Arabidopsis thaliana: one gene and its partners. The protein of the gene in region 3 interacts with the protein of the main gene of each other region in a biochemical or structural test. Each region holds a gene or a part of one and is shown on either strand. Other genes may lie near its edges. The genes, in order: MSRB3, SLY1, PEN3 and WNK4.

Region 1 (6,203 bases), on a different chromosome or scaffold from region 3:
GAATTTTACCTTAGTAATAGCGTCCTCCTGGGTACAGTTGTTTATTAGATAACCAAAAGTTATGGAATCAGGTTTAACGCCAGCTTCCTTCATTTGCTTGACGACCATTAACGCACTACTCACATTTTTCTTCAAAACATACAAAAGCCATCAGCTGAAAACGATCTAAGAGACGTTGGGAGCTCACAGAAACATGGACAATCTCTCAGGTCAGAATTTGCAAACATGAAATGGGAGCTTAAGATATTACCTCCCTAAAATATCCAGCCAATATACAATTGAACATGCTAGAGTTTGGTTCCAAATTGAAGTTCTTTAAATTACCAAGCATATTATATGCACCTTCAAACTGCACATGAAACCAAAAGATATAGAGAAACATTTTGTGGTTAGAGAAACAAGCGAAGCAGCAACTGTAAGAAACAGCACAGACATGTCCTCATCTGTAACATAGGGTTTGAGGAAGTTACATCTTTGATTCTTGTGCACAAACGTATAATGCTCCGGAAGTTCTCAGTATTAGGTTTCACACTCTTTGTGCACATAATTGAATGGATTCTTCGCACCTTAAACAGCAAAAGTATGAGGAAATCCGTTTCATATATGAGCAGAGTTCAACTGTATATTGTCTGGATATAGATTCAAGCTAAATGAGGATGCACACCAAATCAAACTCAAGAACTTCATCAATGGCATGTAACAATGAATGTAGGATATCTGCGGATATCATCAAACCTGCTTCACCCATTTTTTCAACTACATCAAGAGCAGTGACTACCTACGGCACAGAGAGAATACTCATTATATATAGCACACGAAATACAGCCAAATTTATTATAAAACAAGCATAATAGGAATACCTCATTCGAGTCACAGCTATACTTAACAAGCTTTTCGTACGATGTAGATGAAGGCATAACATCAAGTTCTTCATGCATCTTGTTAAATTTTAAGATTGTATCCTCAACCTTTAATTGTAGAAAACCAGTAAAACATGGACAATTAGGAGGCATCGATTATCTAACCAAAGACTTTAACAACACTAATCTGCCACTAATATTCATGAGAAGTCCTTACCGTTGGATTTGGGGTGCAAGTAGAATAGATAGAGATGAGATCAGAAACGTTCTTCACTCCTTCATCTACGCATGTTAATGAGAAACATATAAAACATGCTATAAAAATGATGTTCTACAGGCATAAACATGTTATTGGACAATGCAGCCTTACCACTTTCTCTTAGCTCCCAAAGGAATCTACTCGCAACAGAATCCAATGAAAACCTCCCAAGATATTCAAATATGTTTGCCAATAGGTCCGACGAACGAACTTTTGTTATGTCTACAATCTCTAAGAGCCTCTCAAGATGGTACTTTTGGTCTTTTTTACATAGTGCAAGCAGATAATTTTCTGTTTTTTTAAGGATCAAAAAGGTTAAATCTTTCAGAGTAAGAGAGAGCCACAAAACAACAGAGTGCACAAAACTGAATATTGCTTACCTTGCAAGACTGATAAGCTTTCACCGTTATCACCATCAATTGTACTGCAAAGTTCCTCAATCTTCTCTCCATCACCAAGATGGATCCAAAGAAGCATTTCATAGTAACCAAGTCTCTCAACGGAACCGGGACTAGCCTCCCTAATCACATCCTTGAAACTATGAAACTCATCTACCATATCCATACCAATCAAATAACCAAGAAGAGGACCATAAACTCTTTCTTCAATCAAAAATCCACGATCTCTCATAGATTTCAAAAGCTCAAAAGCCTTCTCAATATGGCCAAGAGCATAATCTAGATCATTGCTTTTCTCAGCATGCTCTAAGTAAACACCAATCATTGCATTGTACTCTGTCACACTCATCTCTTTAGCTACTCTATCAAAAGCACCAAACATAGCCTCAGTGCCTAATTTCTGAGCAGAGTCTCTAAATATCTTAGCGAAACGCCGTGACAGACCGTTCTGCTTGTAAACACGTCTCTCTTTCCTTTCACGAGACAACTCTTTCGTTCTTAACGAAATATCATAAGGGATCTTAGTGGTGAAACTTGGTATCTTTAAAAATAAGTTCTTCTCCAAAGAGCTTTTATCTGATGTTGTTACTGAAATGTGATTCAAACTATGAATGAATGAGAGTTTGTTGAAGAAAATAGACAAAATTGGCAACACATACCATGTAACAATTTCGATACTCGATCTTGTAATGATGCTTCCTCAAGATCTACACACAATTTTGCATGAAATCAATCGAATTCTAAACATTACCCAGATACAGAAAAATATCAAATTTACAACGAATTCATTCTAAAGATCACATTTTTCTTATATTTGTTCATATCAGAAAATCCGAATTACCTGAGGAAGAGTTTTTGGAAGAGAGAAGATCTTTGACAGCTTGAGAAGTTCCGGCGATGTCTTTGTTGCCGGAAGCAATTGAAGATTCGCCGGTGGGTCTAATACGGGATTTGAAGACTGAACTTAATAAGCTTTTGTTAACCTTTGAGACAACCATGTTCGGATTTCAAGTGAGATTGAGAAGATGAAGAAGAGCAAGTTTATAAAACCCTGAACAAAAACCCCGACAGGGTTGTTCTATCCAATTTTAAACCTTAGGGGTGATAATTTAATCAATCATATAAATTAGGGGTAATCATGTAAATTAACAAGATTAGTTGAAGAAGAATCGTCAAATTTTGATTTTGTCTTGTGGATTCTTCAATTCAAAGATTATAAATTTATTGATGAACATCGTCAATTCAAAGATTCTCTTTTTATCATTCACGCTACTTCTTCTTCTTCAATCGTCAATCGTTGAATCCGATTCGATTTGCCTCTCTTCCGGCGTAGCTTCGACGGTGGCAATGGCGGCTCCGGGATCGGTTCAGAAAGGAGATGAAGAGTGGCGTGCGATTCTTTCACCTGAACAGTTTCGGATTCTTCGTCAAAAGGGCACTGAGTAAAGTTTTTAACCTTTCCTCAGCGATTTTCATGGTTCAATTTAGCTTTCAAAATTTGAGCAAATTTGGTAACTATCTTCCATTAGGAATCCTGGTTTTAGAAATCTAGGGTTTTTATTTCATAACTCGCTTAATTTGTGATTCTCAGAGTTAATAAAGGTTTGAACTTTTTTTTTTTTGCCAATTGTTGGAACATTTATTTTTCAGGGGTGTGTCTTGATGATGAGCACTATGTTGATGATTAGATCTTCTCTCTGTGTAGATTACATAGAAAGTTTCTGCTATAGATGTTGATCTGTTAGGATAAAGTCTATTCTTTTGAGTGATTGGAAACAATACAAATTTCCTGCTATTATAGATGTTGAGCTGTTAGGATAAGCTTACATGAAAGGTTATAGTTCTTCAAGGATACTATCTTTCATTACTCTTAAACTCCAGATGAGTTTGTTTTTTTTTCTTATTAAAGATAAGATCTGAGTATTGGTTTTACCAAGAATGTGCTACGACTTTAAGAGCTCGACTTTAGAACTTGGTTGCTCTGTCAGGTTTTGTCAGTTCCTATAGAGCCTTTACTATTATTAGCTTCTGTCTTAGAATGGATTGCTATGTAAATGACCATTAATATGTCTGAGTTCGTCGTTGGGGTTTTGGTCTTTCTAGTATTTGGATATCTTATTGAATAGGGAATGAATGTTTATATTGCGGGTTTGTGTTTTGTTGATTTCAGATATCCAGGAACAGGGGAATATGTCAACTTCGACAAGGAAGGAGTTTACGGTTGTGTAGGATGCAATGCTCCTCTTTATAAATCCACCACAAAGTTCAACGCTGGTTGTGGCTGGCCAGCTTTCTTTGAAGGAATCCCCGGTGCCATTACCCGAACGGTAAAGAAAATACTCTCAGAGCACAAACACTTTTTTCATCAAATTGGTAACAAAAATGAACTCTCTCTTCTTTGTGTATTTTGCTTACATTTGTTGGTTTATCAGACAGACCCAGATGGGAGAAGAATAGAGATCAACTGTGCAACATGTGGTGGACATCTTGGTCATGTTTTCAAAGGAGAAGGTTTCGCTACTCCAACCGATGAACGCCATTGCGTGAACAGCGTTTCGCTTAAGTTCACACCCGCAGCGTCTTCCTTGTAAATCTTGGCCGAACAAGATTATTTGTTCTTTCTCTGGATTTTTTCACTCAAGTGAGTGGGAGAAAAACAGAACAAGAATCTTGTATGAGTGTGTGTGTCTATACTGTGTACTGTATTTTTTCTTTCATGACTATTTAAATTCATCACCTCGAGCATTTTGACAACAACTGTAGTCTGTAGTATGTATGATTTGTAACTTGAATAAAACACACTCTTGTCTTGTAATACAAAATCTATACTATGTTACGCATCTGTGAGACTCTATTGACACGTGCATGATACACCAGTCTAAAGATTCACAACAGTTTCATATGAATCTAGACTCAAAACTAGGAACCATACATCACTGAAATTATGTACAAATAGATCACTGTAATGATTCAAGAACCTACCTGATCATTACGCTTGCTTGCCTCTGTTAATATTTCAGCTTCTGGTTACTCTCTGTTGTAGTAGCTTCTTCGTGGTGGTTGTCATGGCGGATCTTGTGACGGTGGTTAAAAAAACAGAGGAGGAGTGGCGTGCAGTTCTTTCTCCTGAACAGTTTCGGATTCTCCGTCAAAAGGGCACTGAGTAAGTCTTTGTTTTCTTTATAAATTTGGGTTTAGGGTTTCATAGTTTGTGATCTCAAGTTAGGCCTTGTTGTTTATGTACTCATATTTTGAAAGATTGGATTCAGAAGATTGTTGATTTTTGATAGGTTCACTATGTTGTTACCTTTTCAAGGATAAGCACTGTAATTAGGCTTCAAGTAATCATAGACTGAATCTTGAAAACAAAATTAGGGGAAAATTGGATCTAGATGCACATCAAACAAGTGTAGTGTTGCTTCTTGCTTTTGGTCTTTGTTTTGATTGTTTCAAACGCGGTTTCTGCAAACGGTTTGCGTTTTGCGTTTATGTTTTCAATTAACAAAGTCTTTTTAGCTTAGAATGCTTAAGATTGTTGATTTATTTTGAAAAGAAAAAACTACACTAAACGCAATCGCAAACAAACAGTAACGACCTTAAACCCTAAACCCTAAACCTAAGTGTTTTATTGGTTTTCTCAGTTACTATAGAACTTTGTTTTTAGATTTATCCAAGTATAGATTGCTCCTTCTTTTGTTACGATTTTTGGGGTGATTTATTTCAGTTCTTACTTTGAAACATAGTATACAAATGCATAATACAATTCAATCCAAGTGTTCTTATGGTTAAAAATATTTCAGAACGCCGGGAACAGAAGAATATGACAAGTTCTTTGAGGAAGGAATCTTCAGCTGCATCGGATGCAAAACTCCTCTTTATAAATCCACCACGAAGTTTGACGCCGGATGCGGCTGGCCAGCTTTCTTTGAAGGACTCCCCGGTGCCATTAACCGAGCCGTAAAGATTATCTTTTGTATGTTTAATTTAGTTTATTTTCATGACTACTGGTTAGTAAAACATTCTTCTTTTTGCTTGATTTGATTCTACATTTACCAGCCTGATCCAGATGGGAGAAGAACTGAGATCACTTGTGCCGTATGTGATGGACATTTAGGCCATGTTCATAAAGGTGAAGGTTATAGTACTCCAACCGATGAACGCCTTTGTGTTAACAGCGTTTCGATCAATTTTAACCCGGCCAAACCTTCCTCTATAACCTGAGGACTAGTTGATCGTACATTACTTTCAAATCAGATTGTGGTGTTCAATTGTAGAATCATCATCACGTTACAAGGATCAATGTAACAGATAATAAGAATCATTAGTGGTTCTTAAAATATGTCTGTTTAGAAAATATATATATATATATATGTATCCTGTTTATAACGACAATTCTCATTTTAATACATTTTAGTAAAAATGTTCAGCTTAATTTCCCCACTACAAAAGTTTCCACTAAAGAAAACAGATAATATCAAATTAATGGAATAAATAAGCCTAATTTTCTTTAAAAATTGTAATGTCATTTAATAATTATTGTGTAATACTAAGAAAAGATAGCCCAACAAAAAAATCAAAATATACTGAAGACGAATACGACGAAGGAAAATAACAGATTAATGAATCTGTTCGCGTGTAAAGCTTACCAACATTCGGAAGCAACATGTTTTTTTACACTTTTTCGTG
Region 2 (5,639 bases), on a different chromosome or scaffold from region 3:
AACTATAAGGAGAGAACCCAAAGATCATGTTTGGTCTGTGGATAGACCACGTCACGGTTTCTATCTTCTTGATCTCTTCAAACAGAATATCCTCTTGGGTATAATAGAAATTCTGGATCTGCAATCTCGGCATATCCTCAGTGAACGGTGGATCGTGACGAGGTCCGTCAACGTTGGTGAAAGGGCCAAGGTAGTGCTTTGTCCCTGTCTGGAGACAAACATGTCGGAGATTTGGCGCGTATGGGATAATCGCTTGGAGAACGTTACGGAGCATTGAGCCATTTGCTTCACAGTTTTCACTTTCCGATTCACGATTGGTCCAGGTGACGTAGAAGACATGTGTGACATCGGTTAAAGGGGAAAGCTTGGATCTTGTGTCTTCGGCGTCGGAGACATCGCACTGGATGTAATCGATCGGATGATCGGCGTTCCAGGTAGGACGAGGACGACGAGCGACGCCGTAGACTTTCCATGGACCACCGGGTGTGTCGGAAAGAGGGAGAATCTCCGCCAAGCTGTTTCCGACGATTCCAGTAACGCCGATGATGAGAGCGACGCTCTCGAAGCTTTGTGATGGTTCATCTTCGTCGAGTTTCTTCTGCGAGTACACAAATTAAAGAGATGATTTTCAATCAGTTGAAGATGAAGATCGGAGGATATGATTTGAAGGATTGAATTGAAATTTACCTTGGCAGCTCCGATGGCGCCAGCCCACCACCAACTCATTTTTTCTCGATGTTCAGATTTTAGAAGCTAAGCGGTGTTTTGTGTTTATGGTCGTGGCCAAGTAATTTGGCTAGAGAGAGCCGTGTGGGGTTTGTCTTTTGTAATGTGTTTATTGTCATTTTTATATATGAAAAATATCTTTAGCTAAACTGGCATCTTACCAAAAAAGATGAACAAAATCTTCTTATTTTTCGCAAAACATTTTTTTTTGTTAAATTTTAGTATGCCACATAAGTGGTTTATAAGTTCTTTGTAATCACTCGAGTTTGTTTATAAATTTCATATAAAACCAAGAACAGAAAAGGAGTGTTTTTATCAATTCACACAAGCTCTTAAATTATTTTGTTGACTCTTACTTACACCTCTTTATTTCATTATTCTTTCTTTACCGACATATAAAAAAAGAAAATGACAAAAGTGGTTACGGCGATAATGATTCTGATTTGAATAAGGAGATGGTGGTACATGGTAATGATGTGTAGGCTTGTAGCTATCACTCAAATACACATAAATCTAGCGAAATTAAGGCTAACCATCGCAAGAATAACCAAATCAAACAACATTTGAGATTTATCGTACCGCTGTAAAAACTAGACGGCAAAACTGGATCCGACAGAGTAGTAACCACCGGGAAATGTTACAAACGAAGGACATAAAGAAATAAGCAACATTACATAGCTTGACGTTGATTCCGGTTTGGACTTAAAGTGGTGAATGTTAGGTTTATTACCAAATTGGTGAACATTGTTTTTCATTGAATAATAAAACAGAATCGTCACTAACAGTTCTTAATCTTACCAAACTGGATCACGAATCGATTTTGTTACAATCATTGTCCAACTACGGACCAACTTAACTTCACGACAGAACCATTACAACAAAATCGAATCACATTTGATATTAAATCTACTTTTAATCAGCTCCGATTACAGTAATTAAAAATTCTCATCACCCTCTATTATTACAGAACACAACTGTTGCTAACAGTCTGGCTTATGGATACCAACAAATTTTATTGCCAGCATTGAACATCACATCTGACTTACCAATCAACAAACTCCAAATACACAAACTCCAAAACCAAACTCTAATAATTTGTAGTCAATTATTTGGATTCTGGAAGAGGTCTCTTAGTGAAACTCATCTTCTCGTAGTATCGAATTGAGAGAAGAGAAAGAGTGAGTTTAAGCTCGTCCTTACCGAACCTAGCACGCGGATTGGGTTTAGAGAGAGGCCAGAGGTAAAGAGAGTGGAGTCTTCGGAAGCCACCAAGCGCCAACACAACAGATCTGAGCTGGTTCTGCCCGCAGCCGATGTTAGTCCAGTGACGAGTACAGATCAGCTCCCAAAGCCGCTCGTCTTGTGCCGTTTTGTGCCAGATCTTGCTCACGCAAGATGACATAGCTAAGGTCTTTGCGTCGACGTGTTTCAACACCTCGTACACTAGATTCTCGTCTAAATTGGAGAATCCGATTTCTTCTTCCTCTGTACTCTTCATCTTCTTGTTTGTCTCGTTGTGAGCATCACCGGCCAAATCAGAGTCGGTAGTACTGCGCTTCATGTGGAATCGATTGCGAAGATCAATCAAAGTTGTTTGATTTGAGAGGAGAGATTGAGAAAAAAAAGTATTGAATTGAAAAGAAGATTAGAGATTGGGGTTTCTCAGATGCCTTCTCTTTGAGAACTTTCGAAGACGACAAAACGAAGATAAAAATGCTTTTTGTAAAATGACGACTTTACCCTCATATACTCCATAGCTGTTTTGGACTTTTGGAGTCCTTTTTTTTTTTTTTGTCATCTTGTTTGTTAAATAAAATTGTAAAACATAAAAAACAATACAACAAAAAGCCCAAGCCCATCTTATAATGTTGTTTCTTCTTAGTTCTTCCCAAATGTTTATTTTCAACTATTAAAAAGAGTGTTCATTGAATGTACCAGAGAGACCTCTAGGAATTTTTGTGAATTAACGGATAATCCATTTTTTAAATCTTATTTCAACTATTGACTAATTTAGCATCACGTATTTTCAGATAAAAGAATCAGTCGTTTAGGACTTAAACAGAGTGAATTATTTGGGTGCCTTTTCATTTTCTCACTTGAATTGTCCTTTTTAACAAATAGGTATTATTAAATCAGAGTTAGGAAATTGTACTGTACCTTTCTTTTTAAGTTTGTGTCAGCAACTTGTATTTTGCCTCTTTTTCTGATCAAATTAATAAATATGGATTGCACGACGAGTCTTTTGACACAATCTATATATACTGTCAGAGTGATGACAATTGCTTGGAATTAATCAGAAATTCATTTGTTTAATGCTCTCTAACAAACAATAAGAAATTCAATATAACTTCAGATGAGAACAAATCATTTCTATCTTCACTGGATCATTCTTTTCTCTCGAAAATGTTCGATGCCACGATCTCAAAATGTCTGCAGCTTCTATATATGTTCTTCCGTAAACTAAATTCCATCAAGTTACCATCGGATAACGCGAGTACCCCTCTAGCTCCTAGCTCTACTCAATTTTCTATATAAAAAAAAAAACTTGACGAAACCATGGATTAATATATATATGCGAGTAACTTGTATTTTGCAGGATGAGTTCGTTCGATGGTACTTGGGGCTATCCTTCTCAGCTAGAGTGGTGATTTATATTACAGTTTTGGGTACTATATTTCTCCCATATTTATATAATTAACATATGGAGTACTATTTATCTTCAATGTAGAGCTAATTTGTTTGTTTTTTTGTTTTTGTTATTGTTTCTCAGGAACAATAATGACGATTACTTATTTGGTATTGAAATTCCTGAGCGAATGTGACATGGAGGATGACACACAGAGGCTACCATTGGTGGCAGAAGAAGAAGTCACCACCGATTGGACGCCGCCGTTGATCAATGAGTCGTTGGAGGTAACGGGGAAGGGAGATGTAGAAACGGCGTCGTTTAGCTCGTCGGATGATGTGGACTACTCGACACTGTGTGTTATATGCTTCGAGGAACGTAGAAACTGTTTCTTTGTACCGTGTGGTCACTCTGCCACTTGTCGCGGCTGTGCTCAAAGGATCTTGTCGGAAGAAAGTAAGGTGTGTCCGATTTGCCGAAGGGTGATACGCAAATCAAAGAGATTAGTGTTGAAAAAGCTTTGAGCGCCGTTGCTTTGCCTAATCACCATTTTGCGAACTCATGCTTCCAAGAAACGCCCTTTGCTTTGCGTTTTATTATTATTTGTTCTTTTCAGTTTTCAGCGACACAAGTGAAAGAAAGATCCGAGTATCTTTGGTGTCACCACAAGACTATAATTCCATACAATCTGTAATTTAACAATGCAATTCTTTAACAACCAAAAACAAAGACAATTCCATGCCAATGTACACACTAGCATTTGGATTTGTTTCTTTTTCGGTAAACCGATTTGTATTTATCATGCCAACTGTTTGCGTTTTTGGGGGTGTATCATGAAATTAAAATCAATTCTGTAAAGTTTAGATTTGAAATTTGAAATTATTTTTAAAAATCTATTTTGAGCCATTTGAAATGAAATTTTTTCGGAGTTTCATAACATTGGATGTTAATGAAAGTATTTAAAATCTTAGTTGAATAACACCAAATTATAGATTCTAGTAAGCATGATTTACAAATGTAAAGATTTCATAACAACAGATTTTAAAGTATAGTTTAGAATCATTAATTGAATAACATTGGATTAGTGTTAAATTTCAGTTCTATTAAATCCATGATTGAATAACACCACCTTATAGTTTATGCCGGATTATAATTGGAAGAAAGAAAATATTGGGTTTTGAGCTATAGTGTATATGTTCTTATAAATTTAGTATTTGGTATTTTAGAATGTATCAACAATATTTACCATGCTAAAATCAAATAATAAATCATAAAAATAAAAAACTACTTTCATAAATTTAAAGGTCTACATAAGAAAACTCTACAAAGTAACATATTGCAAATATAACAAAAAATTCAAAACATATTTTAACCATATGAAAAATCTTAATTATTATATTATGGATTAGGATATTCACGGAATTTATCTGATTTTTGTTTGTTCCCCATAGAATTCCGCAAAAATGGGTTGTGGTGGAACCATATGGGTGGGTTCTTGTTGACTCACACAAGTTGGTACATAATGAGCCGGGCCGTGAGTCCCTACCGATTCACTCTTCACACGCTTAGCACGTGCAGTTTTCATCAAAAAACGCAAACGAAATTGAGCAAAAAAATAAATATTCACCAATCGCTTCATAAGATTTTTAGTTATTAAATATTTATTGCCAAAAAGAATAAACGAAGAAAAAGCCTTTTCTTCTCTCTCGTTTTCGCGACAACCTTTTCCTCGAAGAAGAAGAAGAACGAGGTTTTCTCTCAGAGCTGCCAACCATCGTTGCCCGGAGATTTAAAAAACCTGTGATAAATCGTAACTGAGTGAGAGATATATACACATATATATACACAGAGGGACAAGGAAAGAGATTGGGATATGCGAGTGCGCATCGGTTCTGTCGGAACGGCTAACTCGCTTGACCTAGGGTTTCGTCTTCCTTGTGCTTCGTGGTGAGTTCTATATTCCTCTCTCTCTTTTTACAATGATGAATAGCTCTGAAATTCGCCTAGGGTTTATTAGTGGTATTCATTTGGTCATCTGTCTTCAATTTTTTAATCACTTTTTGAATTGATCTTTGGAATCTTATTCATTGAATTGGCTTAATCTCATATTATTTGTCGTATAGTTCTCCACATGTGTTGAATTTTGCTAGTTTTTTCTTCTTCTCAATTTTAGGGTTTTGATCCTGGACCTGGGATTTGGTTGGCATGATTTTTAAATAGATGTACTCTATAGTTTCTGAGATTGGGAGATTTTACAATTTTTGTTGTCCTTTGTCTGTACCATCAA
Region 3 (9,986 bases):
ACTAGACTCAAACTCAACTTCAATATCAAACAGTGCTTCTAAAGCCAACTCAACCCAATAACCATACTTCACGCTCTCTCTTCAGGTAAGGATGTGATGATTCTTTGAGACCAAATGGTCAATAAATATATCAAAGAAGTCTATTATTTCCCCTTCCTCGTTTGTTTTGAAACACATAACTGACTTTATTGGTGATAGTGGTAAGTAGAGCAAACGATTCGGCTTTGGTGGTGAGGAGAGCCAAGGAGAGGCTTTTGGTGGCGAGGAGAGCCGAGGAGAGGCTTTTGGTGGCAAGGAGAGGCAAGGAGAGGCTTTTGGTGGTGAAGAAGAAAAAGTCATTAGTAGTGAGGTGAAAGAAGGAGCCATTGATACCATTTGAATTTGATTTGATCTTGATGGTACCTTTGGTGGTGATGAAGGAGCCTTTGGTGGGGAAAAAGAAAACGCCTTTGATGATCTTGATAAACACAGCCATGAGAGTATATAAAAGATATTCAAAATTGGGAAATGTTTTCATGATAGAAAATAGAAATAACTTACTTCTAAATACTCTGAAACAAGTTCCTATTTTATCATAAAGCTACCCATACTCCATGACCTCATCAGAGACACAGAGAAGAGAAGATTTTATTTTACTCCATGACATGTACCATCAATCTCATGTGACGTCTAAGCAAGATATTAACGAGCTCCTAAATAGAGAGGTGTTCATCTCGTTTAAACTTTTTTTAAGTTTAGGGTTGGTTTCAAATTGGTGTATCAACGCCACCGCCAATATACGTCATATTCTTGACATGTGCAGAGAAGAAGGATGTGAGGAGCTTTAGTTCTCATTTATTTCGATTTTGTTAGTATTCTTATCTTTTTTTAGATTCATGTTCTATTTGATAAGTGTAATTTTGATGTTGGTTGATTTGTGATCACTATTGTTAGTGAACTCCTGCAAAAATAAGAAGACTGAATTAGAAAAAGCAAGAATACAATGACACTTTCTAATTACAGCATATATTCTAATGAAAATTTGGTTTTGTTTTGGAAAATAAAAACAATTTTTTCTAATATGAAGCTTTAGTTTATATTGACAATTCTTAAAAGTTGTACAAAATTGTTTCAACCTTTTCTACTACATAAATTTGTCTTATGTGGTTATTATTTTTACATGAATCTAAATATGTAGCTTCTTTTTTTACTATATTTTGCGTATAACAAATAAGATCCGTGCTAGTGGGATTTTTAACTACTAATAATAAGAATTCCAAGTGTATATTAAAATCCAATAATTAACATTATTCATATCAATGACGATTTAATATGTGGGTAAGCATTTCGACAAAATTATTATCATATACTTGTTATCCTATTGATGATGTACAAAGGGATTCAATTTATTTTTTGCAGTATATACAATCTCACGTCTTTCTCATATATGTATGTTAAATTAAAAATAAAATTTACTCGTATGTTTCTATATGAAGATTAAGTTATTTCGTTTACATAATGGATAATGAGTTGATCATCTATCTATATATTAAGATCATTTGATGATATTCTATAACAAAAATAAATACTAGTATTAATGAGATTTTAAAATAGTAAGACGTCAAAGTGAATGTTCAAGTCAAAATTTAATATTATTTTTAACGTATCAATGATGATTTAATATATTGGTAAATGTTCATACAATTTTTTTTATCATATAGATGTTATTCTATTGATGATGTATAAAGAGACTCAATTTATTTTTTGCATAATACTAAATCTCACATTGTTTTCTATATAGACCTAGTGTAAAAAGAACTTGGTCATGTATGATTTCATATAATAGTTAAGTTATTTGATCTACATAATGGATAATTAACGAGTTGAAGTGTTATCTAAATAAAGTTATTTTGATGATATAGAGTGAGAATTACAAACGTAGGTTCAAATCAGATGGTTAACATTGTTTTACATTTGATTCGATTTAATATTCTAATAAATATTTTTGATGATATTTTTATTATAAATTTGCATTAACTAGAATAATTTGGCCAAAATAAGAAATCATTGAAATTATATAATAATATATATATATTGTTATCCAACATATGTTCAACAACGGGCGTTTGGTCTAGTGGTATGATTCTCGCTTAGGGTGCGAGAGGTCCCGAGTTCAATTCTCGGAACGCCCCTAAAATATTTTTTTCTTCAAATTCCTAATGGGCCAGGTTTCATAAATAATTCATCGAGGCCCAGTAAGAAGAAAGGGTTATATCATATGCTATATAAGATGACAAGGGTCTAAATATTTTGAACGGATCAATTTAGGAATCCAAACCATATTATGCAATGATCAAGATATAGGGTGGTGTATTGGCCTAAACATTTGGGTATGATTAAATGGAAATTTGATTGGGAGGACTTTTGGTAGGATTTAAGGAAATTTTAGGTGATTTAATCCAAAATTCAAAATCGTTTTGTCGTTGTAAGATAGACTTTTCTATATTTAGAAAAACTGATTTATTGAGATTTCTCATTAAACTTTATGATATTGGTGTTGTGTTGTGATAATTTTTACAGAACCATGTTATACAATTATCAAGATTTAATCATGAAGAACATTAACTTATCCTCCATTGATTTTGTCTTCTTTGATAATGGATATGATCACACTTTTTTTCTGTCTTCTTCCTCTTATTGGAAGTATCGTAAAATAAAAAGTCTCAAGAAACAAACAAAAATGGACTTTGAGGGATTTGTGGATATAAACACAAAAAAAAGTGGAATTATATTACATGATTCCGATTCGTCATCATCTATAAGACAATAAATAAAAATATTCAAAAAAATTTCGTTATGACACTACAATACATATTTAGAACATACAAAGCTTATAGTGCATATAAACAACACAGAGGATACAAAAAAAGAAAGAGACTTTGTTGTTTGAGAGATGGTTTTATCTGGTCTGGAAGTTGAGAGTTCTGATGCAGAAGGCGAAGATGAAGGCGAAGAAGACGGTGAAAGCGATGAGTACAGCCGCCACTGGTCCCATAAAGTCAGATTGGAAACCATAATGGTCCTCAATGTATTGCTTGACGGTTAAGTCAGGAGCACCACCAAGGACTTGGATACGTGTCTCCACATCACCGTACTGCGACACTATCAATCCATACACGGTCCATGCAACAGGGCAGATCCAGTAGTACCAAATCCACCATTTTGGGATTTTGGGTCTTGGAATGAAGAAACCAGAGAAGAGGTTGAAAATACCGTAAAACGCTGAGGCGAAAATCGAAGCGACTTGTTGGTTTGGTGTGAGGGAAACAGTCATCATGCCGTAGTAAGTCCAGTAGAGGAATGAGAAGTAGCTAACGAAGACGAACCAGAAGAACTTTTCGGCTTTCCATTCGAAACCAACCATGGCGTAGACGATGAGTGAGTAGTAAACGGTTTGAATAAGGACATAGGGAAGCTCACAAGTGACTTGAGAGATGGCATATGGCATGGCTGAGTACATTCCTGCTGCTCTTTCTCTGTAGAACACTGTTCTTTCCACTGCAACCATCGGTTGTACTGTTGAACAGTTGTTGATTCCCACGAAGATAATCGCGGCATACAATGCTCCTATCACCATTGTTAGATCCCCTGCGTTCGACCTGTTACCTCCGATTTGCCAGAAGACTGTACCAATCAAGAGAGATGTTGCCAATGTGAAGATGAAACGGACAAGATTGTAGTCTGGAGATCTCCAATACGTCCACCATTGTTTCCATAAGCATGATTTGAACTGTCCCCATGTGTTTTGTGAGAATTGTGTAGCAAAGTAAAGATCTGATGCTCCTGCTGGTGGTACACTTAGTTCTTTTACCAACGCTTTGTTTCGCCTGCATTTTGTTATGTATTCATTAGTACTATTACTTAAACAATCAATCAGATGCAATGAGCCATGGAAAAGAAGGAACTTAAACTTACTGGTGCAATGCTGATTGATTGTATAACTCAGCAAAGTCAACACTAAGCTTTAGCTCAGCGGCGAGTGAGCTAGCTTCGAGCATCCAAGTGGCCGGGTTATACTTTTCTGGAATCTTGGACACTCCGGGGAAAGATTCAAAGTACTCAACCACCTTGTGAGAGTTTTGACCCAATGGACCCGCGTAAATCACTTGTCCTCCTCTCTTCATCAGCATCAATTCATCAAATGCTTCAAAGATATCAATGCTAGGCTGATGAATGGTGCAGACCACGGTTCTTCCAGTGTCCACTGTGTTCCTTACCGCCCTCATCACAATAGCCGCTGCTCTAGCGTCTAGCCCTGAAGTTGGCTCATCCATAAAGATGATGGAAGGGTTGGCTACAAGCTCCACCGCGATTGTCAGTCTCTTTCTCTGCTCCGTGGAAAGCCCCGTGACACCCGGTAAACCAACAATGGAGTCCCTAAGACTGTCCAGCTCTACCAATTCCATCACTTGATCCACAAACATCATTTTTTCATCTTTGCCGACTTCTTTAGGAAGACGAAGGAAAGCAGAGAAAATCAGAGATTCTCTGACTGTTACTTGCGGGGAGTGAATATCGGTCTGCTCACAATATCCTGAGATTCTAGCAAATGTTTCTTGAACCTTTGGGAATCCTGATATTCTCACATCTCCTTCAATGTATCCACCTGTTTTCCTTCCGGCCAAAACGTCCATAAGCGTAGTCTTACCGGCACCACTCACTCCCATAAGCGCAGTCAAAACTCCTGGCCTAAATGCACCAGTCACACCTTTAAGCAGTTGGAGTCTTGTTTCTGTAACTCCTTGGTCTCTCATTTCCTATACCATCAAAAGATATCTATTTAGTTTAAGTAATTCATATTTAATTTAGTGTAAAGATTTTAAGTGAAGATAGTTACTTACCCCAGGCATGTCAACAAAGTATTTGACGTCGTCAAAGGACATAGCTAAAGGAGTGAAAGGAAGAACCATTCCTTTCTTATTGCCTGCACCACCTGATGCTTCAGCCGCAGAGTCCCTACTCATTCTCCCCATTGCGACCTCTCCTCCTGATAGCAGGGAGCAGAATGAGACAAGAGTACAAGAAAAGCAAAACATCTAAGCAGATTAAGAAATGTGTTTACTTACTTCTGTTCCCATCTGCAGTAGACAAAGATCTACGCATTGGATCTTTCCCCTGATCAGCGTCTTCATTTTCTTCTTCTGGAAGTAAACCTGCCTTCTTCCCAAGAGCTGTAGTTTCAAAGGTACATTATTAGTAGTCTATTGTTTTTAGATTTGGTAAAACGGGTGATACAACACGAGAACTTACGGTTGAGATAGGTAAGTGCCAAGGTGAATAGAATGTTGAAGAGGGCTGTGAAACAAAGCAAGGCTCCAACTGAAATCCAGTACCAGTTCTTTTGATGGTAGACATCCCAAGTATTAAGCACCATAGTTCCAAGCTTTATTGTGCTGTTAGAAGAAGCCTGTAATTTGAAAAAAATATGACTCAGAGGCGGCTTTACTATGATATTTGTTTGTAAAATGCAGAATAAAGAAGTAAGCCACTTACCATTTTGTTCATCCATCTGGGAGCAAACATTTCATTGACTACTAGACCGTTGAAAGCATAGGTGAGAGGAGATACCCAGTAAGCCCAACCCCACCAGTCAGGAATCTTGCCTTTCGGAAGAAGGAAGCCTCCGAGCAAGAACACAAGAAGTAGAGTGAGAGCACCACCAGTATTAGCAATCATCATGGTTCTGCACACAGAAGCAATCAACCTAAAGAGGGATGCAGCCATTTGTTGAATCAGAAACACCAGAAGAAACTGCTTGAAGAAGCGGCTGGCGTCAGGTGCAAAACCAATGGAGTAATAAGTCACCACCATCCAAGCCGTCGATTCTAATATTGAGCTTGGAATCCCAAGCAAGAAAGTGGGAAGTGAGAAGGTCCAGGATGGATAAAACAAGAGATCCCTCTGTTTGTAGAACACAGGGAGTCTTGAAACCATCATAGCCATCTCCGCAAACCCATTAAACATGTTGATGATCATTCCAAATAGCAATGCTCCTATGTAGAGATTAGCATCACCCTCGTTTCTTGTGTTCATTTCGGTTCTCAGGAAGAGTGTAGACGTGATTGCAGCAATGATGACGATCTGGACAGTCTTGAAAACATAGAAGAACGCGTTTCGCTGCATAAGCAGCCACTCTTTGTCCCAACAGCTCTTGAGAAGCTCCCTCTTTGAGACAGAGTACTTATCGAACACAAGAGCTGCTTTGTGGCCGCGAGACTTATCGAACGGTACTGCAAGTTCGTTAGACATCTTCGTCCCAACATGGAAACTCTTGTATCTACTGGCAAACTCTGAAACCGGAATGTAGTGATAAGGTCTGTTCGGGTTCACCCAGTACTGTTCTTGATCTTTCTTGGAAGTAACCTCTTGCAGGAAATCAGCTGTTCCTTTTCTCTCAGGACACTTGAACCCAAAGCTCTCAAAGAACTCAAGAATGTTGTCTCTCGGTCCTTGGTACACGATCTGACCTTCCGACACCAAGATGATATCATCGAATAAATCAAAAGTCTCAGGAGCAGGCTGGAGGAGAGACATGAGCACCGTGGCTTCATTGAGGTGAACGATTTGTTGCAGACACTTGACGATTTGGAAAGTAGTGGAACTGTCAAGACCAGTGGATATTTCGTCCATGAAGAGTGTCTTAGTAGGTCCAACAATCATCTCACCAGTTGTGACACGTTTCTTCTGACCTCCAGATATACCTCTCATCATGTCATCTCCAACTATTGTGTCTTTGCAAATGTCAAGCCCCAAAATCTGTTACACGGCCAAAGTTAGTATTATACAAAAAAAGACTCAAAACTTTATGAACATGAGAAAAGATTGTCTAGAACATTTTTAGAATATGAAAACTTATATCAATATTCTAAAATAATGAAACCAAACGGTTAATGAATAAATTCCGGTTCAGTTTCGGTTTATAAAAAACGATTTAGTTCGATTCGATTTTATGAGTTGCTTGCCTAGTAACAAACACTCTTCTTGAAACAAAAAGAACAAGATGAGCTAAGTTAAGGCGAGAGTTGGACTCACTTTGAGAGTATAATCAGTGACGAGACTGTTCTTAACACCTTGAGCAGCAGAAGCTTTCATGAAGAGATCAACATCGGCTTCCGGGAATATACCAGCGTCCTTTTCTCTCCTCGCAAGCTCATTCAACAGATCTACAACAACAAGAATCAAAACCATTCAACAAAACTGAATCTTGAAAAAAAGATATGATTAAAGATTGAATCTTTTACTTACCATAACGAGTACCAACACCTTGACACCTAGCAGAGAAGTCAAGAGTCTCCTTAACAGTCATGATACCAACATGAAGATCGTTCTGACTAATGTAAGCAGAGGTCTTTCTCGGAACAAACTCATCGAGTTGGTAACCATTGTAAGTAATATCACCACTGACTTGTAGAGATTTATCAAGTTTCCCAGCTAAAGCCAACAAAAGAGTGGTCTTACCAGAAGAAGGAGGACCCAACAAAAGTGTCATCCTTCCAGGTTTAATAACCCCAGAGATATCTTTAAGAATCGTAAGCTGAGCTTTCTTAGCAAATTGAATACCAATCATACCTAAAGCAGACTCTCCCATGTTCCTCACAACATTCAAAAGTGTAGGAAGAGATCTATTACCAGTGTAACAATCAGCTTTAATCGTCAAATGCTCGTACCTGACTTCAACAGTTGGAAGTTTGATACCAACTCTATCGATCCTGTTTCTTAGCTTAGTCAAGATCCTTTCATTATCTTGCTCAGCTACTTTGAAAACCATGTCAATAAACTTCTGACGATCTTCACCATCAAGCTTGGTTACATCAACCTCCTTGCTCATGAGCTGGTTACCGTAAACATCGTCTTCGACTACAGCGTTCATGAGAGTGGTTCGGAGACGACTGTAAGTTGGTAGCTTCTCAATGGCAGCCCATTTAAGAGCTTCTTCATCGTCGTTGACTGATTGTGTTCTTCTTGAACCAGATGAGAAGATATCTTCAATGTTCCTACTTGCTCTGCTTACACTTCGACTTATGCTTCTTCTCATACTAACACCACCTCCTCCTAAAGGAGGAAGATTTGGATTGTAATCCATCGTTCACCAAGAAAGCTTGTGACTTTGGCTCAAAGTTTATGTCTTTTGAACAAAGTTTGTGTTTTTGGATCAAAGTTTGAGACTTTGGATCTAATCCCGTGAGGATTTAGTTGGGTGATACAGAGAAGAGAGAGAGGAGGAAGATGATGAATGAAGAGAAGAGGGTGGGATTAGAAAATGGATAAATAGGGAGTGAGGAAGGAACATCAAGGCGGACTTTTCTTTATGTTGACTATTCATACTTTGTTGAAATAATCAAAAATAATAAAAAGTCGTGTTTTTTATGTGCAAGATGGGTTTTATTATTCAAATGTGACGGCTCTTTTACGTTGTTTTTTTATTTACAAAAGATATTTTTTGTGCTAATAATGCGACGGCTCTTTAACGTTTGTTATTTTATTGCAAAGATATTATGTAATAATTGAAGTGTTTGAACATTTCTTATTCAAAGTCAATAACGATGACCCCATTTAGTTATAGCTACTACTAGTGGAGATATCGTTAAATGAAAAGTCTTTCTTGTGTACTTTGTTTCTTTTCTACATTTTATTGGTGAGAAAAGAAAGGAAGACCGTCGTTGGGTTTTGAAGTCATTGTGTTGATGAAGTCACATTCACATTTCAATTCAACACATACGTGAAGGATGGTTTGTTTATAAGTCTTTGTGTTCTGGAAAGTGAGAAGTTGCGGAGGAAGAAGCCATTTAAATACCCGGAATAAGAAGTTTTAGTGACAACTCCTCAATGTTGTTATGATAAGAAGACTCCATTGACTTCCTCTTAAACTCTGCGTTTGGCTATTTTCTCAACTAATCTTTGATTAGTGCTCTGCATTTTGTGTATTAACCAATGTCTAATTCATTCCTTCAGCCAGCAAATTTCATTTTCCTGAGCTCTTCTCAGCTTCTTTAGTAATGCTCTATAGGTTGGTTTCTTTGTCAATTAAGCTCTCGGTCTTCTTCAGTCTGCAGTTTATACTCCAAGTTTTCATTTACCTTTGAGGACGACTCATCGATTTTTTCAAGAGAACAAACCTACATTGCTCTGAGTTTTCTAAAGCAATGTTCTTTGGCTTGACTTCGTTGACCAACAAGCTTCCTTTAAATTTCATGCTTCCAGTTTCTGCTTCTCTAACTCTTTCCTACAGATCCTCATTCTTCTCCTCAAGTTCCTTCAGTTTATTCTCATTTACCTTGCCAAGTTCCCGACTTTTCCGCGCAAATGAAGTTCTCGCTGTCTCTACACAGTCTTAGAATGGACAAACTCATTTTGGGTGTTTACTTATCTCAGTCTTCAAGAATTTTTCCTTACTTTTCACTTGTATATTTTGCAGCCAACTTATAACTTTTAATTTGGGCTCCACAATGTTCAAGCTATGGTTGACATATCAACAAGACCTTCTCCAATCCTTGCCTTGCTTTAAAAACGCTTCACTTGTATCCACCAAGCTTTCATATACCTTTGACAAGTTATCGAGTTTTTCAAGAGAAAAAACCTTCATTGCTCTGAGCTTTCTGTTTTCTAAAGCAACCTTCTTTGCCTCGACTTTCATGCTTCCAGTCTCCGCTTCTCCAACTCTTTCCTACAAATCCTCACTCTTCTCCTCAAGTTCCTTAAGTGTATTTTTCATACATGCTTCTTCTTCTTCTCATTTTCCTGAAGGTCAGACAAATTCACTTTGCCAAGTTCCCAATTTTCCACACAACTGAAGTTCTCGCTGTTCCCACATAGTCTTAGAATTGAAAAACTCATTTTGAGTGTGTACTTATCTCAGTCTTCAAGAATTTTTCCACAGTTTTCATTTGTATCTTTTGCAGCCAACTTATACCTTTTCATTTGGGCTCCACAATGTTCAAGCTATGGTT
Region 4 (7,639 bases), on a different chromosome or scaffold from region 3:
TCTTTCACATGCTTTAAGCATGAAATACATATTATTTTTCATTTTAGCAATTGTATTCATGATAGTAGAAAGCGAGAACTCATCTTCCATAATCACACACAATTTTATAAGAAAATTTCAGATTTTTTTTTGATTTTATTGAGATTTTATACTCTATTTGATATTTAAAGTTGACAAAATCTGAAATTTTCCCGAACAAAATGACCAACATTTCCCGCCCAATAAATTTTCCTGCCAAAATTTTTCTCCGTACCAACTTTTTTTCCCGCCCAAAAATGCATTTAAAAATCTTTGTAAATTTTAAAGAACTCTTGAAAAACCCTTGAAAAACTCTTAAAAGAAATTTGTAAAAATTTGTAAAGTTGTCAAAAGCCCTTGTAAATCATTTTAAAAACTCTTAAAATCCTTATAAATTCTTTAAATACATATGTAAATACTTTAAAAACCTTTGTAAATATTTTAAAATCCTTGTAAAACCTTTTACAATGGTTTTAAAAGATTTACAAGAGTTTTTAAAAGAATTTACAAGGTTTTTAAAAACCTTTGTAAATCGTTTTAAAAGTCTTATAAAATCTTTTAAAACATTATTTACAAATATTTTACAAGTGTATTTAAAGACTTTAGAGTTTTTTTTCCAAAGATTTACAAAGGTATTTACATGTGTATTTAAAGACTTTATAAAGATTTTAAGCGGATTTAAAATGATTTACAAATATTTTTAAGAACTTTACAAAGCTTTAAAAGACTTTAAAAAAAATTACAAGGATTTTTTAAGAGTTTTGAAAGAGTTATAAAAACATTTTTAAGGATTTTCAAATTACACGTTCATTATAAAAAATAGACAATAGAAGAAGATATTCCCTGAAAAAGAAAAATGGTTCCATGTTAATAAAAGGGTACCCTTAATAAACCGATGAAAATAGAAAGCGACGCAATATTTTTTTATTGAAACGCCAAAATGCTAGATCGTTCTGGTTTAAAATGAGCTTTTGTGGATAAAGCCAAACCCAACTAATAAATACTCTACTATGGAGCTGGACATGTCGACCCAATAGCAGCTTTACTTGACTTTGAATTAGGCAAATCAGACTACATGGCGTTTCTCCGTGGCTTGGATTACAATGCATCTACTTGAAGCTCATCTATCACTTGCATTGACAAGACCGTACCTAGAAACTTTAAACTATCCTTCTATGTCAGCTAAATTGTCATTAAAACATAACACATATGTTTTTGTAAGATATCTAATAATAAGACAACAAATATGGCATCAACCATTTCATATATATATGTGCATGAGAGCTCTCATCATCTTACTTAGCTTTGTATCTAAGGAGGATCCGAGTTTTAACAGGCTATATCATGCATAGATAAAATGGTTATATTTGACTACTGTTTGTTCTGGTATAGATGGTTACATTTGAGTCATTTCACCATGAGGACTCTTTCTCTGTAACACAAACACACCCTTTGAACAACTTTATTAAACACATGTACTTTTTACATTTTTGAACCAGCAAACTTGTTTTTTACAGTATACTTATATATTACAGTAATTAAAATACTGGAGAAGCTAGCGCCTTGAGCTTGGTGGCTTCCGTGAAACCGCATAAGGTGACTGAAACCCAACTGTTTCTACGTCTCCAACAGTTTTGAACAATCTTCTTTTTCTAGCCTCTTCCCCTGGCGACCGGTGCAGTAACTGTCTCTGCACGTCTACAAGTGATCGGTTCCTTGTAAGTGTGCGGTTGTCTGAAGCCAAGCTTCTGTTAGTTGAACTGGAAGCTGCATACGCGTTGGCTTGTCCTGACTGTAGATGAGAGCTTTCTTCGGGGCAAAACCTCGTCATGTTGTGAGTTCTGCTCATAACAGGAGATTGGGAGCTGTACTCATCAACAGCTATGTAGTTGAGGTTGGAGTAAGACCCTGAATGGGAAGAACTCTGAGAATACGTCTCATCGTGTAAATCATCTGCAATTTTAATTTCTATCTCAAAAACTTTTATAAAAACAATTGTCACACTATGCACGTTGAGACTGGTGTTACTTTCCATACCTTGTACCCAATCTTGAAGGCCTCGAGCCATATAGTTCGAGAGTGAAGCTTGGGAAGATGACGCGTGCGAGGAAGAAGAGTGAAAAGAATCGGTACGATGACGATGATGATCATGAGGGGTTTCATCATCTTCCTCATACTTCCAATCAGACACCAAAGAAGAAATCGCTCCATCAATCATTTTAGCAATCTCGACTGGCTCCCAATCTATAATTTCGAGTTCTTTTACCATCTCCTTTGCAACATCAATGGAAGTATCATTCATGATGTCAAAGGGAAAGAATACATTATTGGCCAGACCTGGAAAGAAAAAAACAATTATGCGACCGAATAACAAAGTGACCAGCTTAATCAATTTAGTCCCATTTACCATTATCATATGCGATTTGTACTTCCAGATCGATTTTGTTATCTTCAGCGCCCAGCTTCCCAGCGATGGACATCTCGGTCCTTAACTCATCATCTTCCAACTTCAGTGTGTCCATTTCATTCTCGTTCAAGAAGGGCTTTGGATTCCCAGCACCGCTCGTGTATACCATCCAGGACTCATCGGAGGCAAGAAATGGATCTTGCAATAGTTCTTTTGCTGATACTCTCTTTGAGGCAGACACGAGGCATTTCCCGATGAACCTCTGTGCCTCGATGTCTCCAACTCTGTAAAATGCTCCTGGTAGCTTTCCCTGAAAAGAGAACATTAGAAGACTCATGCCTGGTTCATCTGACAGCTTCATTTATATGCTCACAGATTGTAAGACATACCCCAACAACTTTCTTGTAAATCTGTGCCGGATGGTTGCACTCACTATACGGGAACTCAGAGGTGATCATCTCCAAAAAGCACATACCAAAGGAATATACGTCAATGAGTTCATTATAGTTCTCCTCATATAATTCTGGTGCCATGAACTCAGGAGTGCCTATGCAAAAGAAACACAAAGAGGTCTAAGCATATGATTTGGACAAGAAGTGAAAACAAACGATTTTTGAGACATACCAATGATGCTATGGGCCGAGTGGCAGTCCCGCAGCATTCTTGCAAGACCAAGATCACCAATTTTGACTTGTCCAAGATGCCCATTCACAAAGATATTATCACACTTAAGGTCTCTATGGATAACAGGAGGGTCGTGCTCGTGGAGATAAACTAGCCCTTCCAAGATTTGCCGAGCCCAGGACTTGATTGCTCGGATATCTATCCGCAAGTACTTATTTTTGTATCTGCATATGAACGGGACAGGGTCATAAAAGACAAAAGCTGAATAATCTTGTCAGAAGAAGAGGTTTAAGCGAATTACTGTCGGAGGGTCCCTGAAGTGAACAACTCGGTGATGAAGTTGAGAGTGTGGTTATGAACATCGATCCAGGAAGTGTAGAAACGAATGATGGATTTGTGGTTGAGAGTGCTGAGGAGATGAACCTCGGAGTAAAGCCTCTGTAGATCAACAGAGGAACGCAGAACCTCCTTAAGCTTCACCTGGCTCCATGCTACTTCTATTCCCAGCTTCTCGTCGATTGCTTTGTACACTGTCTTCATCGCTCCCCTTCCAAGAATTTCTGCAAACTGTTCCAACATAAAAAACCAAGTGTTACAACAAGGTTTTGATCCATGAACATAGAATCTGTCTCCTTACTTACACGTCCATAGCGACCAGTTGGATCAGTTTCCACATACTCTGCAACTTGATTCATATTCATGGTTGACCAAAAACCGATTGATGATCCCAAAAATGTTTAAGAGGACACAGACTTTCGTTTTTATAACAGAGAAATTTTCCGGTGGCCAAAAGTCGTCCTGTTTACTTCTTCGTGCTACTTCATTAAAGAAGCGTCAGCAGAAAATATGTTGAACAGTCGTTGGCGTCAATCACCCATTTGGGATAAAAAGAATAAAGACAATTTGCCTTAACCTTGCTTGCATCACATATATTATAGAAAATCATATATTTATTTTTATTGACCCAATTGTAAATCTAAAAATCGAAAGTTTGACAAATCTTACTTGCCAATACAAGATACTCAAACCACAAAAATGAAAAAAAAATCATCAAACGTGTACCACATTGAAAACACATGGCTAAATATGCTCAAAAGATGCCCTTGTTTATTTTGTGAACCACAAACACAATTGCAAAGAGGATAAGAGTTAAGAAAGTGTGGATACTGGGAAATGCGATATTCAGGAAAGAGTTTTGTTTCTTGAGGAAACTGCACAATTTTCAATTGAACCAATTATTAGTTTGGTGAACACAAGCAATCCAAAATAAATAGATTGAGGTTAACAAAAATAAAACGACAAAGAAAAGGGGAAAAGTCAGAACAGAAGTGGGGAACATGACAAGAAGTTGTAGAGAATAGAGTGATAGTGACATCACCGTTGAAAATTGTTTTGTTTTTGTTGGCGGCCAGTTCCTGCAGCCCTCAAGGAGTTCACGGTTCTGTAATAAACTAATAACACGTAACAAATATGCATTCACCAATAAAGTATGTGCATGAGAGCTCCCATCATATTACTTCGCTTTTTATCTAAGGAGGGTCTGAATGTTAACAGGCAATATCTAAGGAGGGTCCGAATGTTTGACAGGCAATATCATAGATCAAAATGGTTATGCATTTTTTGACTACTGTTTTGTTCTGGTTTAGATGTTAGTTGACACGTGGAAAAGGAGAGAGGGAAGCATGGTAGGAATTAGGAAATGAAGATAAGGATGGAATATATCTAAAACAAGAAAAGCCGTATAAGTTTGACACTGACTGACTACAGAGGTTGCAGCCAGAATTTTTCCCACAAGCATATAATTATATTCTGCTCATTCATCATTATCATTCACCACACAACATGGGAATGGCCCTTTCTCCACCATGTTCTCCACAGTTGATATATCACAATACACAAAGGTAAATAACTCTACAGCATTTTAAAACATATAGCACAAGATTCACAAAAGATGTTACCTCTACCCACCGACTAAGTTCCTCCATTTATCTTTCAAATCCACCTACCAAGTTACAACATTTACATCACTCACACTTGGCATATATCTTGTTCAAGTAAATGGTGAGTATGAATGTTAATAAGGAAATGTTCACCTCTGTCCTCTCCGCAAATACTGTAGGGTTTCCATTCTTTATATCTTTCCATGATTTACCATACCTGCACAACAACAACAACAAAATGAGCCAGTGGTATAATCTTAATGAGGTCCAAGATGTATCACTATTGAATATTGATAATAGAGTACGGGACTAGGCAAAGAGTGTTTGCATACTCTTTTACTCCTTCCCTCAGAGCTTCCACTTCTTCTGGCTTCCAGAATTTCTTTGGTCTCCTGACATGTGGTTTCGCCAATCCGCCTTTCTTTAATGGAGATACACTCAGAGTTACAGGGGTTGGTCGACGAGGCCGAACTCTGCTAGACCATGTTTCCTGACTATCCGAACCTTTCTCATTTACATTATCCTGTTTTCACAATTAAACCACAAATTCATGAACCAAAGAACAAGATTTTTAGAAAGCATCTTGAGGGAAAATTGACTAACACTCACCGATGCTTCGTTATGGTCTTGACAGCCTGTTCCAGTCCTATTCACCCGAGTAGGCGGAGGAGTGACATCTACTGAGTGATCAATTGCACTGTTAGGTTCTTCCCCTTGCCTAGTGGAAGGGTCGATGTGTCCTTGAATCTCTACTAAATATTCCTTCAGCTCTCGAGCAGCCATTTCGTCTCCCTTATCAAGACTTGGCTCATGTTCCTGATCTTGTGCACTCACTGTGTGCTCCTCGTCTGCTGCATTCACATTATCAATCCCATCATTCTCCAGACATTCCATTCCTTCACCATCATTAGCGTTGTCTCTACCAATCCCATTCCCGTCCTCCCTTTCACCACGCGCCTCGTTGGCGATATCAATAGTATCACTCCCAAAACGTCTCGTGCTTTCATCAACATCACTTTGATCCCCTCTGTTGTCAACAACATCACCCTCTACGTTCACAGCCTTGCGCTTAAGAAACCTTCTTTGAGCTACTGATTCAAGAGAGGAACTCCCAAGTAATGCCCACTGTTCTTTGAGAAGCTGAGTGAGAAAGGAAATGGCAGTGTACCTGATGTTAGTCTCACGAATTCGCTGATAGAGCTCAGGATCTCCAAGGGCCTTCTTCAAATCACTCTCCCATTTCAACAAGTCACAAGTCACCAAATCGCTACCACTCTCCTTCAAAATCCCAATCCTCTTCGTCCATATCCTCTCAAGCGCATCGGTGAACAAACCATCCGAAGCAAACATTGGCCACATAAATCTAAGCGTACACTCAGTAGCCGTCCAGCAATAAGCAGACTTGTGAGAATCCATGAGTAGCGAATGTTGCTGCAAGAGAAGCTTCTCAAGAATCTCGAGAAGATCGAGCATTCCCTCATCAATCGTACCTCGGATCAATGAATTGGAGATGTCACGCAAGACGGAAGATATCTTGAGCTTTATGCAGTCGGAGGAATCTCCTAATTTTAGCGCCGAAATCAGATTAATAGGGGAAGCCCTAGGATTGTGTTGTCGAAGGAGGAAAAATTCAGCAACCCATTGATCAATGACCTCCATTATTGAAACTTTCGCGATCAAAGTCGCAACTTTTTTAATTCTCTGGTCAGCGGATGCAATGTCGCCGGCGAAGACGAAAATCTCCGATCAGTGATCAAATTCGAACGGTTTCAGGTATATTCTGTTATTGGGCCTTAACTGGGCCTAAAAGTCAAAAGAAGATAAACGGTGAGGATGCTAAAAGAGTGACAAGTGTCAAGAGCTGAGCCTTATCCATAGATTCCCCAATCCTCTTTCTTACTACTCTGTCGCTTGGCGCGCTCTCTCTCCATAGTTCCAGTTCTGAAATCTCACTTTCACAGTTTGTGTCTGTGCGATAATGGCCATGGCAGAGCTCTCAACCCCCAAAACGACGTCGCCTTTTCTCAACTCTTCGTCTCGGCTTCGTCTCTCTTCAAAATTGCACCTTTCAAACCACTTTCGCCATCTTCTTCTTCCACCTCTCCACACAACAACTCCCAACTCCAAAATCTCTTGCTCCGTTTCTCAAAAGTAAGTCTCTTTAAGCTCCTAATCGTTTCTTCTCTCTTAAATAAATCAACTTTATCTGATCTTAGATGCTTTTGTGAATTGATGATAAAAGTAGCCAAGCTCCTGTTGCTGTGCAAGAAAATGGATTGGTGAAGACGAAGAAAGAGTGTTATGGAGTGTTCTGCCTCACCTATGATCTTAAAGCTGTATCTTACTATTCCCTCTTACTATTTTTCTATAAAAGAATCTTATCTTTGAGACTTGAGAATTGAGATAATCCTCTGCTTTACATGGATATAATAGTATTATGTGTGTGTTTGCCAGGAAGAAGAGACAAGATCATGGAAGAAGTTAATTAATATTGCAGTTTCAGGTGCTGCAGGAATGATTTCTAACCATCTTCTCTTCAAAGTAAGTTAATCCTTTAAGTTACTGTTTTATAGGATAAGGTTACCAATAATTGGTCTTATTTTATGTATCTTTGGTTTTCCGGGTGTGTAGCTTGCTTCAGGGGAAGTAT

What was found.
Region 1: the proteins of PEN3 (region 3) and MSRB3 form a complex in vitro, tested with the Arabidopsis thaliana proteins (one study listed by BioGRID).
Region 2: the proteins of PEN3 (region 3) and SLY1 form a complex in vitro, tested with the Arabidopsis thaliana proteins (one study listed by BioGRID).
Region 4: the proteins of PEN3 (region 3) and WNK4 form a complex in vitro, tested with the Arabidopsis thaliana proteins (one study listed by BioGRID).

What each region holds. Positions count from the first base shown.
Region 1 is NC_003075.7:2,436,830-2,443,032, forward strand, and holds MSRB3 (methionine sulfoxide reductase B3), read left to right. Parts: upstream 1-2,690; 5' UTR 2,691-2,744; coding exon 2,745-2,959; intron 2,960-3,687; coding exon 3,688-3,844; intron 3,845-3,949; coding exon 3,950-4,108; 3' UTR 4,109-4,376; downstream 4,377-6,203. Other genes in the region: AT4G04790 (Tetratricopeptide repeat (TPR)-like superfamily protein), read right to left, coding at 10-129, 251-349, 471-566, 665-778, 861-968, 1,078-1,142, 1,231-1,410, 1,500-2,105 and 2 more; MSRB4 (methionine sulfoxide reductase B4), read left to right, coding at 4,583-4,680, 5,318-5,474, 5,574-5,738. UniProt on the Arabidopsis thaliana protein: Catalyzes the reduction of methionine sulfoxide (MetSO) to methionine in proteins. Plays a protective role against oxidative stress by restoring activity to proteins that have been inactivated by methionine oxidation. Involved in cold tolerance.
Region 2 is NC_003075.7:12,560,306-12,565,944, reverse strand, and holds SLY1 (F-box family protein), read right to left. Parts: upstream 2,667-5,639; 5' UTR 2,288-2,666; coding exon 1,832-2,287; 3' UTR 1,463-1,831; downstream 1-1,462. Other genes in the region: VEP1 (NAD(P)-binding Rossmann-fold superfamily protein), read right to left, coding at 1-598, 688-726; AT4G24204 (RING/U-box superfamily protein), read left to right, coding at 3,130-3,216, 3,323-3,392, 3,497-3,876. UniProt on the Arabidopsis thaliana protein: Essential component of the SCF-type E3 ligase complex, SCF(GID2), a complex that positively regulates the gibberellin signaling pathway.
Region 3 is NC_003070.9:22,032,797-22,042,782, reverse strand, and holds PEN3 (ABC-2 and Plant PDR ABC-type transporter family protein), read right to left. Parts: upstream 8,361-9,986; 5' UTR 8,123-8,360; coding exon 7,285-8,122; intron 7,203-7,284; coding exon 7,072-7,202; intron 6,796-7,071; coding exon 5,533-6,795; intron 5,447-5,532; coding exon 5,290-5,446; intron 5,211-5,289; coding exon 5,106-5,210; intron 5,027-5,105; coding exon 4,881-5,026; intron 4,797-4,880; coding exon 3,955-4,796; intron 3,867-3,954; coding exon 2,939-3,866; 3' UTR 2,657-2,938; downstream 1-2,656. Other genes in the region: AT1G59885 (uncharacterized protein), read right to left, coding at 1-66, 185-475; AT1G59865 (uncharacterized protein), read left to right, coding at 9,486-9,783. UniProt on the Arabidopsis thaliana protein: Together with ABCG37, regulates auxin homeostasis and responses by playing a dual role in coumarin (e.g. esculin) and in the auxin precursor indole 3-butyric acid (IBA) efflux transport, thus influencing cotyledons, roots and root hairs development.
Region 4 is NC_003076.8:23,581,616-23,589,254, reverse strand, and holds WNK4 (with no lysine (K) kinase 4), read right to left. Parts: upstream 4,467-7,639; 5' UTR 3,751-4,466; coding exon 3,691-3,750; intron 3,617-3,690; coding exon 3,351-3,616; intron 3,274-3,350; coding exon 3,050-3,273; intron 2,973-3,049; coding exon 2,815-2,972; intron 2,736-2,814; coding exon 2,426-2,735; intron 2,356-2,425; coding exon 2,056-2,355; intron 1,972-2,055; coding exon 1,574-1,971; 3' UTR 1,454-1,573; downstream 1-1,453. Other genes in the region: AT5G58340 (myb-like HTH transcriptional regulator family protein), read right to left, coding at 5,010-5,051, 5,143-5,206, 5,322-5,512, 5,599-6,648; AT5G58330 (lactate/malate dehydrogenase family protein), read left to right, coding at 6,968-7,140, 7,232-7,325, 7,444-7,530, 7,621-7,639. UniProt on the Arabidopsis thaliana protein: May regulate flowering time by modulating the photoperiod pathway.